Linked DNA regions of Caenorhabditis elegans. The protein of the gene in region 2 purifies or fractionates together with the protein of the main gene of each other region. This does not show direct contact. Each region holds a gene or a part of one and is shown on either strand. Other genes may lie near its edges.

Region 1 (6,620 bases), 1.9 Mb from region 2:
TTTCTGAAATTTGAAAATAAATGTTTTGAAAAATTTGAACTTCGTTCAAACAATTATGATCTTTCTAAAATTAAATGTAGGAGTTTCATTTATTTGAGTCAAATTTTGAAATTTCACTTTAAATTTAACGTGGAGTAGTGGGGAGAAATTATTCTAAAAATTTGCTTAATGTTGCATTGTTTTTAATATTAAAACTGCTCGAACATTTTTGAATTTTTAAAAATAGTTGAAGCATGTTCTAATATTGTACCTAAGCATTTTAGGGGTTCAAACATGACAAATGCCTTAATTTTCTCTGTTTTTACTATTTTGATAGTGAGTATATTTCAACAAAACTTATAAATTTTCAATAACAATTTGTGAATTCAAATTAATAATAAAATTCTCATAATTGTCATTATTGTGTTATTCCCATTAATGAGCATTTGAAAAATTAATACCGATTCAATTTTTCCTGTAGGTCCCATTTGAGACCTCTCTTGCAGTGTCAAAAAAAAAAACAATAAATAAATAAATTATTATTAGATTGAATTGGAAAACGAAAATAACAATTAGTGCATACAATTCGAGAACTGACTGTGAGAAAATGAATGAATTATTAAATAAGAGGTCTCTGTGCTCCTCTCTTCGGAAATTGTTCGGATTTAGGCAAAATCTCCGCTAATCTCACGTTCGATGGACCATGGGTCGGCGGCAACTGGAATATGACCTTCTCCGGCGTCAACGTAGCATTTCTCAATCTGTAAAAACATTAATTGAAATCAATTTCTTCCGTGTTGAAAATAATTCAGATTTTAAATTATTGCAAAAAAAATTTATTACAAAAAACCAACAAAAAAATGAAGCTTCTCATCAAAAATTGCTCTTCAGATTGTATAAACTCGGAGAAATATGATCCGCGGAAAACTTTTTTGGTTAACCACCTAATTTCAATGAACTTATCACTGAATAATTTTATATAAAAGGAAAATCTCACCTCAATAGCATCTCCGTGGCATACAACACGAAGAGCTGGTTTTCTGGAAACACATGTACGAACTCTTGATCTCTCTCCATTTTGGCACATTGACCATGAAGTCCACTCAGTCCATTCTCCGAACGCCAATCCTGAAAAGTGATTATTTTAAGAGAAAAAGAGATAAGAACAGATTAATGTTCTAATGTGATAGACTCTCTCAAATCTCTCAAGGGAATCAACAACAAAATATTGAAACTTGCAAATCGAATCGAATTAGACACGATGCTACTAGTGGATACATCTTTCATGTTTAGCTCTTTTTATATCTCATATTATATGCGTCTTTCAGTTCTGTCATAAATATTTTATAAAGTGTTTGTATTCTTCTTGATAGTAAATTCCAAGAAATTATACTAAATCATAAGAAATATGATTCTGATAAATACGAATCCCGTTTTCGGAAAATTGTTAACTACAATTTTCAATATAGAGAAGCCAAAGAGCTGTTCGTTGATTCCATTTCAAATCGTGATTTTTTCTTAAAGTTAAATTAAGTCTCTTTTTTTGGGATAAAAACTTCAAAATACCCAAAGTAGGTTTCAAAATATTATTTCATTTTTAAATTTGTCTGTAATTCTCGGCTAAATTCAATAAAATTCGCCTAATTTTGATAAACTTTAAACAGAAAATAAGGTTTTGGTTTTTTTTTTTTATTTTTATTAGTATAAGCTTTAATTATTTTTCTTATTTTTCAGTTAGTTTCCACTCAAATTTTTTTAAAATAGTTGCAAAAAAACTTCAACATATTTCCAATCTGATTTTGCTGATTTATAATACAAACTTACAAAAAAATCCATCTTCAAAAAGTCTCAAAATTTCAAAATTGATTCGGTTGAATCCTTAAATTTTAAAGTTCAAGATTACTAATTAACAACAATCTTCTGTGAGGACACACCCTGCAGATTCTTTCCCGATTTTTTTTGACTTGTAGTCTTCTCCAAGTTCTTAAACTAAAAATTGGATTATTTTTTTTAATGTCAAAAATAACAACTAATCCTTTAAATAACTAATAGAAGATCATTTAATAGATAATTCCGAGTAGTCGTCAAATTTCAATCAAAAATTCAGAATGTTGCCCCTGCGCCCCTAGTTTGTCTCATAATATTTTAAAATATTCGTCCTTTTCTCTATTATTTTTCCAAAGCCGCCTACTTCTTCTCCATTCCTTCTTTCTTTGTTTAGACGCCCTGCTCCAAAGCTTTCTTTAACCGATAGAGTAATTTTGTTAAAACGTGTCTATTTCTACGACTTTCGCGCTTATTCTCACGGAGCCATGTCCGAGCAGCTCACACAGCTATGTGATAATTCTTGATTTTTGTTGTTTTCTATTCTCCGATATGGTCACACGTGTTAGAGAAATGTCAATTAGTGGCTTACTTTCTGGAATTCTTCCCGAACTCCCGGAAAGCATTTGTGTTGGCAAGTCAATTGAAATTGAAGCTTCGTTTTGCCTCACACCAGCTGCTTTGGCACGCACTTCAGCAATTTGATCGTCTGAAAATTTCACACTATTTTATAAAATCAATTTACTATTTATTTTTTCATTATTAAAGATTTTAAAACATTTTTCTATGGCTGTAAAAATATTGACAAACATTTGACAATAATACGTCAGTGCTTTCTCAAATTATTTTCTGCTCTAAAGACTCTAGAGAAATCTGTGAATTTTAAAGAATTGTTCAGCACTGAAATTTTAAAGATGGAGAAGTGTGGCACCACCATAATCAACTATCATAATAATAAAAAATTCAAAAAACTTTAAAAAATTGGGAAGATCTCAATTTTTGCCATTTGTTTTTTGAATTTCGTCAATCAAAAATTTTCCTTCGAATTCTACATACAGTCTACTTATGTTTGAAATATTAATATCCAAGCAATGAAGGGATTCAAAATTTTGATAATGCTTAAACTTTATCAAAAAGTAGCGAAAACTCACTAATTACCACTTTTTGACTGTCAATAAAAATGTTTAAAAAAATTTTTTGGAAAGTTTTCATATGATATATGGAAGTTTTGCTATAATGGTCGTTTTAGCATCATAGCAGTTGTTTTTAACAATATATCTACCTTTAAGAATATTTTTTCGTTCAGAACAGTTCATTTTTCAGGAACTTGGAAATATTAGAAAACTAGATATGTCGCAAATAATATGCCTTTATAAAAATTAAGATAAACACCAAAATGTTCATTTTTAACCAAATCAAACATTTTGACCGTTTACATATTATCAAATAATTACAGTCTCGAAGATTTCAAAAAGTGTTCGGCATCTTAAATAAACGATTCAACAAAATGGGTTATTTGTGTTTCTTTCTCCGAAAACTAAATCCCATGCCAATATTTTTAACAAGTAAAAGCTGACAAACAATTGTATGAGACTGAATTTTTTGAACAATATTTGTTCACAATTAGCCAGCGTGTCCCTTAGCTTCAGGTAGGTGTCGAGTTACTTTCAAATGATTTGAGAACTAGTAGCTTTCCCTCCGCGCCAATTTCATATCATATTCCCCTTGTAAGTAAGTTAGTTTCCTAATCTTTTATTTTCCGGTGTTTTTGTGTTTTTTTACATTCTCCTAGTTTTTCTAAAATAAAATTAGCCGCTAACGAATGTTACTAAACAACATGAATGAATACCTTAAATTTTGTGATAAACCTATCCTGAAAAACAGAAACAAATTTTGTGCCTACATAAAGCTCGCTAGGTATTCTAGAGACATTCTCCTAAAAATTGAAAGTAAAAATGTTTGCCTACAGTGTCAGCATACGGTAAAGTGATTAATTATCACAGCCGGCAGACTAAATTTTTCATTAGTGCCATGCTTTCAATAATCTATTTTCAAAAATAATTGTAAAACAATTTATATCTATTGATTCCACCAGGCAAACATTTCACTTACTTGTAACTGCAGAAGCTGGCTGAAGAGGGTGGAAACTTTCTACGAGATCAAATCGTGCTCGATCGTAAGCTCCCAAATTCACTGCCTATAATTAATTCTCTATTTATTTTTCAACCACTAAAACAAAAAACTTACGTCTTGATCATCTATATTAACAGCAACTGGAATCGCTGAAATAAGGGGTAAGAGAGCGAGCAAGATGCACCGGTTCATGTCTTCTGAAATTGGGTAGGAATCAGAAAATATAAATAAGCAAAAAATAAGTATGTGAGAAAATAGTAAAAAGAATACAAATTTATAGGGAAAATCGAAATGACGTGTGAATGGCATAAACATGCCAATAAATCAAACCACTTTCACATTTATTCATTAGTATCTTAAATCTGGTCAGTAAGGCGTGACTAATAGTTCTAGATTCTAGACAATTTCTCTAAATAATCACCACTTATGGAACGGGTACATGTAGAATATATTGTTGCGTAATACAAATGTGTACGTTCATATCCAATTCCATGAACGGACAAGTGATAAGAAAAAGTAAAAAGAAAACGACAAAAGTTATAATCACGGATAAATTTGATGAAAGGTACGCATCTAATCTCATGTATTTGTACATTTGTGGATAGTCGACAAAAAGATGGGGGAAAGGGGCCGAAATAGTCATCCGGAGGGCGGAGGCACTCGCAATGAGGAGACTGGTGTCGATAACGATAAAATGGGTTGAGGGAAAAGCGAGAAAAAAATCGAGTTTTTGCAATGTTGTCCGCTTGTTTGATGCATCATCAACCTTCGCGATTTACATGGCTAACTGGATTTTTTCGGCATTTTTCCACATTTTTCCGTCTAATGATTGGATATTGAGAATGTGCGAGGGTTTTTCATTGTGATGTGATCCTTTGAATAAAAAATCGAGAGTGGATTTACCTAGGCGGAAACGATACGATATCAGCAAGAGTTTTAAGATATTCTGGGTCAGACTTGAGAAGCACGTGATAGAATTTTGACCTTTTGAAGCAAATAGAAGCCTAAAATCATATTGACAATTCTAACGAGTATTTTTTTGTAACTAATATGGTACAGAGTTCTAGGGTTTAATTTGTTCACACACGTCATTTGGGAGCTACAATCAGAAAAAGGGTGTAGGCTCAAATTTAATGAACAAAATTCATGTCTGTACGAAAAGATTTTCCCTGTGATTGATTTGAGTTGAGATAATTTGCACCTACAAATGGTGTACGGGACCTAGCTTTTTACTAATATAAGTTTCAAAAAAGCTTTTCAAGTGTAATGAGCACGGATTGCAATTTTCGTCCATGTCCACTGTTTAATCTTGTAATTTTGAAACTCCAACTTTTGTATATTAAATTAAAAATGAGTATCAATGTTTATTTAAACAATAGACCTTTAACTATGTAGACCATTTCTTAGAAAAACCGACAAAATGATGGCTGTTATTTTGAAATTTGAATAACTAAAATCAAAATTTCAAGACCTCGATGCAATCTTCGTCTATTATAATTATTCCTCCTCCCATATTCAATGTATTTTATATCTTTTTCCATATGTGTTCCTTTCTTCGTTATCATTGCCCTCATAATATTCAAATTCTCAGGTATAGCCATCTCCCCAACACACAACTAAACAAAATGATAATTGGCGACAAGATCAATCGGGATGAGGTGAACAACAGGTACGGTCTGAATAGAAATTAAGTTGTTGATTATTGGCGGGTGGAAAGAGGAAGGGAATCCTTGAAGAGATAGGAATGCATGCCACGGATGCCGTGATCCGTCGGCGGTGGCCCATCGATGAAAAAGTGCATTACACTGGCAAATGAAGAAATAGAGGTGATAAAGAAACAAGAGGGTTGCTGATGATGATAACCGGGTCGAAGATGTTGCCTTTTTCACCCTCTATTACACTTCATTGCTGAAACTGGATAATGACGATTAGTTGAATAAGGAACACGTCTGGATGTGTTCGATTTGAACATAAGACAGTTAAGAAATCAGTTTTGAGAAGAAAACATCAACGAACATAAAATTCATAAAATTCGAAAGATCATTCCTCATTGAAGTTTTCAATTTTTTGTGATTTTAGACTGACTTTTTCTTTAAAAAAATGCTTTACGCATTCCTATTGGTAAAAAAATCAAAAAAGTACAACATAGGTATAAACAATTGTTTCGTTATCTGAAAATATAGTTTGTTTCATTTGAAACAACTGAAGAAGTGCTCAAAATTGTGTAAAAGCTGAAAATTGCAGGAAAAAACCTACTTACTTAGTTTTTTGAGTTCTTTTTCAGTTGTTCCAAATCAAACAAACGTTATTTTCAGATGGTGAAAACATTTTTTCTTTCTTTTAAAACTACTAATTTTAATTAAAGAGAGAGCATCACTAGCTGATTTTGTAGAATTGCCGGTCGGCAGTTGATAAGCAGTCCGGCTTGGTCAAAGTTTTAAAAAGCTCTCGTGGTCGGGGATAATTATGTTTTTGAGTAATGTAATCAATAAAGAATAAATTATTAAAATTTTAATTGGAAAATCTATTATCAGAATGTAAAATATAGTAACTATTTCTAGTTTTGGGAAGCTTACTCGTGTGGAATATTTTCTGTCAATTTCATCGATGAGATGATACCAATCTTTCAGTTTTTGACTCCCATTCGTTTAATGAAACGGCGGAAAACGTAATGCATCTCTGAA
Region 2 (5,880 bases):
AAAGAAGAAGTGGATGATCAAGTTAATCAAGTTAGGAAAGCAAATTAGTCACGAAAAAAGTAAATATTATTTTGGAAGAGTTCACACAACTGAATTTTTTTTTTTAATTTCAGTATTTAACATTTATGATATGTAAAGTCTAAATACCAAATGAATTTCATTCAGGGAGAGGATTAACTACTAACTAGAATAATCTCACATGTATCACATTTAAAACATAGTATTCCTTCTCATTCATTTTTTAGGACGATCAAAATCTTTTTGCAGCACATTAGTTATTCGATTAGGATTTCTATTTCCAATTTTCAATCAAAGATCCTTCCAATCCACGAAGACGAGTTTAGCAAACATGTGAAAAAAAGAAGAGGCGTTTGAGAATATTCTTGGACAGAAAACGGAACGAATTTCTAATTATTCAAGTTTCTCATCAAACTTTTGAACACAAAAATGCAACTTTCAAGTTTGCTCGTGAACTTGCAATATGAAGTTATAGAGTACTGTAGTTGTTTTATATAGATTTAAACAATTTAAATGTCAATTTTTGTTTTCTTTTTCTGATAAGAACATCTATCAGTAGATAAAATTTTCCTCTTTGGGTCACTTGGGGACTACAACTTGTAAGCGCAACAGCGTAGAGTGACTGGTGGAGATGAAACTATGGTGCGCAATCGAGGTTAGATCTAACTAGGAAAGTGTGTGTGCTCAAGAAAAAATAAGGAAAAAAAACACATATTTAACAGAAACAAAATTTATTGTATAAAAATTTTTGCCAAACCAATTTTTGAACAACTCCGCTCGGCGGTGCCTTCCGGGTGAGTATTGAAAAGAAAACAATGAGTGGTGAAGCTGCATTCCAAATAATAAATAAGAACTGAAATGACTAGACGAATTGAGGTGAAATATGAACACGCATGAGAACAAATATATGTCAGTTCCTCAATAATACCTAGCCTATACGTTTTATTTTCTGGTTTTATGCTTTTAAATACGATATATCTATTAATTATTGCCTATCTGTTTGTATAATAAAAGAATAGTATTAAACAAATTAAAGACCAAATAGTTTATTTTTGTAAACTTTGTCGTCTGGAAACATATGGCTAATCAAACCAAAATGATATTGAAATAGATGGAGACGTTGAGCGTACGAAATGCCACCATTTTTCAGGAATAAATATAGCATCTCCAGGATTTATGACGGCGTCGAGGACTTCCACTTGTTCAAAGTTTGGGAATATTTTGAGATCGGGATTCTCGACATCGACCTGGAATTCGATTTAATATTACTGGAACACATAATTCTGAGAATGCGTATTGCGCAACATACTTGACGCGCAAAATATCTCGTAGCGAAAACTACAGTAATTATTTAAATGAATACTGTAGCGCTTGTGTCGATTTACGTACTTGAAATCAATTTAAATCATTTATTTCTTGATAGAATAAAATTAGGCATAACATAAAACAAAGAAACAAAGGAAAATGGAACAAGAAATTTATTGAAAAAATTGAGCCCGTAAATCGACAGAAGCGCTACAGTAATCATTTAAAGAGTTACTGTAGTTTTGTTGTCAAATATATTGCGCAATACGCATTCTCAGAATTTCGTGTTCCCATAATAGAAGTATCCTTACTTGACTGGTATTTGAAAGTATTCCATCAAATGGATACACTGATTCTGAACTTTCAGGAGCCACCATCCGAAATAGTTTTGTACCATGAACTTGTACAAACATATTCTTTCTAGGATCTGTATGGAGTGGAGATACAGTATCCTGTGGCCCAATCCACATATTCATGTCAACATTTTCAGGATTACTTGATTCCCCGAAGCAAACATCTGGAATTATGACGTCACGTTTCAAGTGTGGAACCTGATCGAAAAGGCGATGTTGTGCAAGATAGAGCCGTTCATTCTGAAATGTACAGATAATTTTAATATGATTTTTGAATATCTAACTTCAGAGTTTCTAATAAATTCCTTGAACGTCATCAACTTTTGTGACCAATTTTCATCTGAATATTTGGTTCCAATTTCCACAGGAAATGTTCGACTGTGAAGTTCTTGAAGTAAAAATGGAAATGACCATTTTTCGATGGCAGGCATATTGGAAGAATGTCTCCGAACAATCAGTGGTGTATTATTTTGAACGGCAGAAATTAATTTTTCAAAACTATTTTCATCATCTTCATCACATTCATCGATAGATTTGGAATTTGAAAGTGGAATTAAGGCAGGATATGTATTAGTTGTATTGAACTGAAAACTCGAATGAATCCAATCATCAGATGACACACCAGGTAAATTTTCATGAATTAACCATGCTAGTTGTCGAATTGGAACAAGATCTTCGTCTATTCTACCCATACACAGCCCTTTATCGGCAATTTTGATCGCAATCTGGAAATTTAAATGTGAGATGGTAAATTCAAGAAGTATTAATTTACAAACCTCATACTTGTTCTGTTTAAACATCATGAAACTCTGACAGAAACATATCAAAGAATACAATTTTCTCCAATTCTCATCAACTTCATTGAAATGTCCTGTGTTCAGTTTTGTATCTGCCAATTTTAGTAGAAACTCAGACTGGTCGACTATTTCTTTTGAGAATTCTGTGTTTCCATTTAAAAAGTGATCGACATTCGTACTAAAACGTGAGAATAAATTTCTGATTAGTTTTGAAACGACTTGGTCATCGAGATGAATTTGCAAAATTCCGAAGTTCCATGTATCTAGATCCTGAAAAGAAATAAAAGTTTCAGAAGAGTGGAATGTTTATTTTGACAAATTAAAAATCACATTTTTCAAATAATCTCTATGAACACGTATTTTAGAAATAAAACATTAATAGTTATTGACCTCTAATCTCTGCTTGAACGCTTCAATTTTTGGTAGCATTGCTGGACTACGAGCGTCGTAATCTTCATAGGATGGATCAGCCTTTTCCGATCTGAAAGATAATTCTGAACAGCTTTAATCTTACAAAAAAAATTACTGGTTCTTGAGGAAAGTATCAATTGAAATCGGAGTTCCCCAGAAGATTGTTTGATGTGGAATAAATGTTCCATCTTCTATCCATACTTTTGAGAGTACCGTGAATCTGAACAAAACATACTAAAGTTCAGAAAAATCATCTGGTATAATTACCCTAAATTAACATATGCTTGCAGAGCTGATACTTGAGCATAGGCATAAACTGGAGAATTCGGACTTTCACTTTGTGCATAGATCAACGCCTCTCGGATGAGATCGGACGCGATTCGTCGTCTTCGGAATTCCTACAAAATAAATTGTAATAAAATCGATTTAAAAAAAAATAGATAAATCGATTTGAAATTTATAATAGATTTATTACTTTCAGAACAGCAACTCTTTCCAGTTTGAGCAAATCTTTTTCGATATTTCGAAGGCGAACACATCCGACAGCGAGATCTCCTAGGAAAAATAACATTAAATTGATTAATTTCCTATATAATTATTACCTTTGAACGCTACAAAGTAAATAGAACTCTGTTCTTCATTCTCATCCCATTCCATGCTCTCCGGACAGTTTTGCTCTTCGATAAATACTTTTCGACGAATGTTGAAAACTCCGTCGCGACACTCGTCAATTTTTAATCGTTTATATTCCATCTAAACTAATCAATTTAAATAAGTATTTTTATATGAATTTTGTAATAAGAATTAAAAAATATTATCGATAATATTATCTACGAAAAAAAGTTTCAGTTTTCGTATGGCAAACCAAAAAACCAAAGACCATTAAATAGTATTTTGTGGTTGAAACCAATTTGTAAAAAAGATCAGAATAACACCCATATATATTTTTTAATAATAATTCATAATCAAAACAACGGAAATTATTCCAAACCAAACAAAAAATCATGGACAACGGATTGTAATACGAGGAGGAAAAGAGACAAAAAAAATTTTCTTTTACAAAAACTCGACAAAACTCTATCATCTACAAAAAGGAATCAGGAAATAGGTTACATAAAAACTAAGTGAATTACGCCATTTTGGATTTGTTTCTTTTGTAACATACTTTCTGATTTTAAAGATTTTTCTTGTCCTTTTGGAAACAGACATATCACAAAATTAAACTAAACAAAAATACGATGATGGCTTATTCAGTAGAAAATGCACTAAACGTCTATTGAGCTTTCGACAAGCGATATATGGTCTTTCAACATGAAAGAAATAAAATATGGTATTTCTGTAGATTTGTTTATAAAGACGAGCACAGAAATCAGGCAGTTCTCTGATAATTGACTTGTTCTGATTGCAATACGAAGGAGGTTGAAGCAGTTGTGGAACGAGCTTTTTGTGGTTTTTCAAGTTTCTGGAAAATAATTGTATGTTCGTAAATAATTAGATATTAAATTCACTTTTTCTCCTTCATTTTCTTGATTATTGAGTTTCGTTTCTTCTTCATTCCGTTTCTTTTCCTTTTCTTCATTTTCTTTGGTTTGACGCTGCAGAACACGATCGTTTTTTCTCAAAAGCGCTTTCTCAGTGGCAGATCGTACTTCTCGTCCGCTACTCTCAATTTCACGAGCAGCCTTGTGAACTTGTCTCAAAAAATAAGGACCACCTTTGTTAACCATCCAATTATACACGTAACGAGGAATGTTAGCCTCTGGATTGTCACAATATGTTAAAATGTAATCAACTCCATGCGATTCCCAATTTGAATGAGCTCGAATTGACATTCTCGAAGTGTAGGATCGTACTCGGACATTTGACTCCGAAATTGATGGAAACACCTATTTTTACAATTTTATTCAAGATTTTTCGTAAGTTACAAATACTTACCTCAGGTTGAACTGATTCGCTATCTAAAACTGCATATTTTTCGTCTTCTGACACCCATGTTCGTCTTACATAAACATATTCTCTCGGATACATTGGATATGGAAACTTAGATACCCATCTGATCAGCTCATTTTCATTTTCTTCTTTGACAACTTCGATAGTCACAATATTGTCGTCCCATTCTTTTCGATATTTTAAATCATTTTGAGCGTCAAGAAATGTTCGTGGACTGATATCATAGTATGTCCCAACACATTTGTATTCATACATCTCATATGGACCATCAATTCGTCTACGGAATGCTAACATATCCTTCTCTTCGTAGAGCAACTCCCATCCTTTTCCAGGTGTCTTTCGATGAGCAAACTCCTCTTCACAGTTTTCACATTCTGCGATTCGATCATCACTGATTCCATGATCTCGAAATGTGAATCCGGCTGTAGATGCAGCTAGAGCAAACTTGCCGAAACGTCGGTCTCCACGGTAGAATGAGTAGGAGTACAGAACGCTAAAAAACAATAATTTGAATAGGACTGCCCTTTTTTATTTTTTGGCAAAAAATGGTTTTTATTTTGGTTGTTTTAAAAAATTTTAATTTTTTAGACATGTTTGAAGCGAAAAAAAAAGTTTTATTTTTGGTTTTTATTTTTTTTATTGAAAAAATTGAATTTTCGAATTTTGGACTAAAATCTACGCTTTTTTTTCATATTTTACAAATCTTCTTAAGCAAAATATGTTTTAATGGTTTTCAATGATTTTTTCTAAAAGTTCAAAATAAATCGAAAATCGACTTTTTTTGGGTTTTATGGTCACAAATTCCAATTTGTAGTTCTTGGTCCAAAATCAAAATCTGTTTTTTTGTTTTTTGGTAAGACTTTTTTGGTCCTACTTCACTCCATAATAGTTGACTTACGCTTTCGTCTTGAATCGTGACCAATTTTGACGGAAGTTTCGATACAGTGCAACCTAAACGTATTATAATTGAACACACTTCAATCAAAATATTGTTTACCTGTTTAAACAAAAAACTGCTCCAATTTCTGTTCAGCATATCTTTGTTT

What was found. The genes of interacting proteins can lie anywhere in the genome.
Region 1: the proteins of jmjd-5 (region 2) and F15B9.8 fractionate together in Caenorhabditis elegans (co-fractionation; one large-scale study listed by BioGRID). This does not show direct contact.

Annotation. Positions count from the first base shown.
Region 1 is NC_003283.11:12,986,069-12,992,688, reverse strand, and holds F15B9.8 (Beta/gamma crystallin 'Greek key' domain-containing protein), read right to left. Parts: upstream 4,134-6,620; 5' UTR 4,129-4,133; coding exon 4,051-4,128; intron 4,001-4,050; coding exon 3,916-4,000; intron 2,513-3,915; coding exon 2,396-2,512; intron 1,108-2,395; coding exon 977-1,107; intron 741-976; coding exon 645-740; 3' UTR 505-644; downstream 1-504.
Region 2 is NC_003283.11:11,125,254-11,131,133, reverse strand, and holds jmjd-5 (JmjC domain-containing protein 5), read right to left. Parts: upstream 3,638-5,880; coding exon 3,487-3,637; intron 3,440-3,486; coding exon 3,360-3,439; intron 3,283-3,359; coding exon 3,152-3,282; intron 3,105-3,151; coding exon 3,000-3,104; intron 2,955-2,999; coding exon 2,864-2,954; coding exon of another isoform or gene 2,849-2,863; exon of another isoform or gene 2,770-2,848; intron 2,744-2,769; coding exon 2,453-2,743; intron 2,402-2,452; coding exon 1,961-2,401; intron 1,917-1,960; coding exon 1,635-1,916; intron 1,266-1,634; coding exon 1,101-1,265; 3' UTR 1,053-1,100; downstream 1-1,052. Other genes in the region: strt-7 (Phosphatidylcholine transfer protein), read right to left, coding at 4,254-4,346, 4,393-4,770, 4,820-5,327, 5,733-5,785, 5,832-5,870.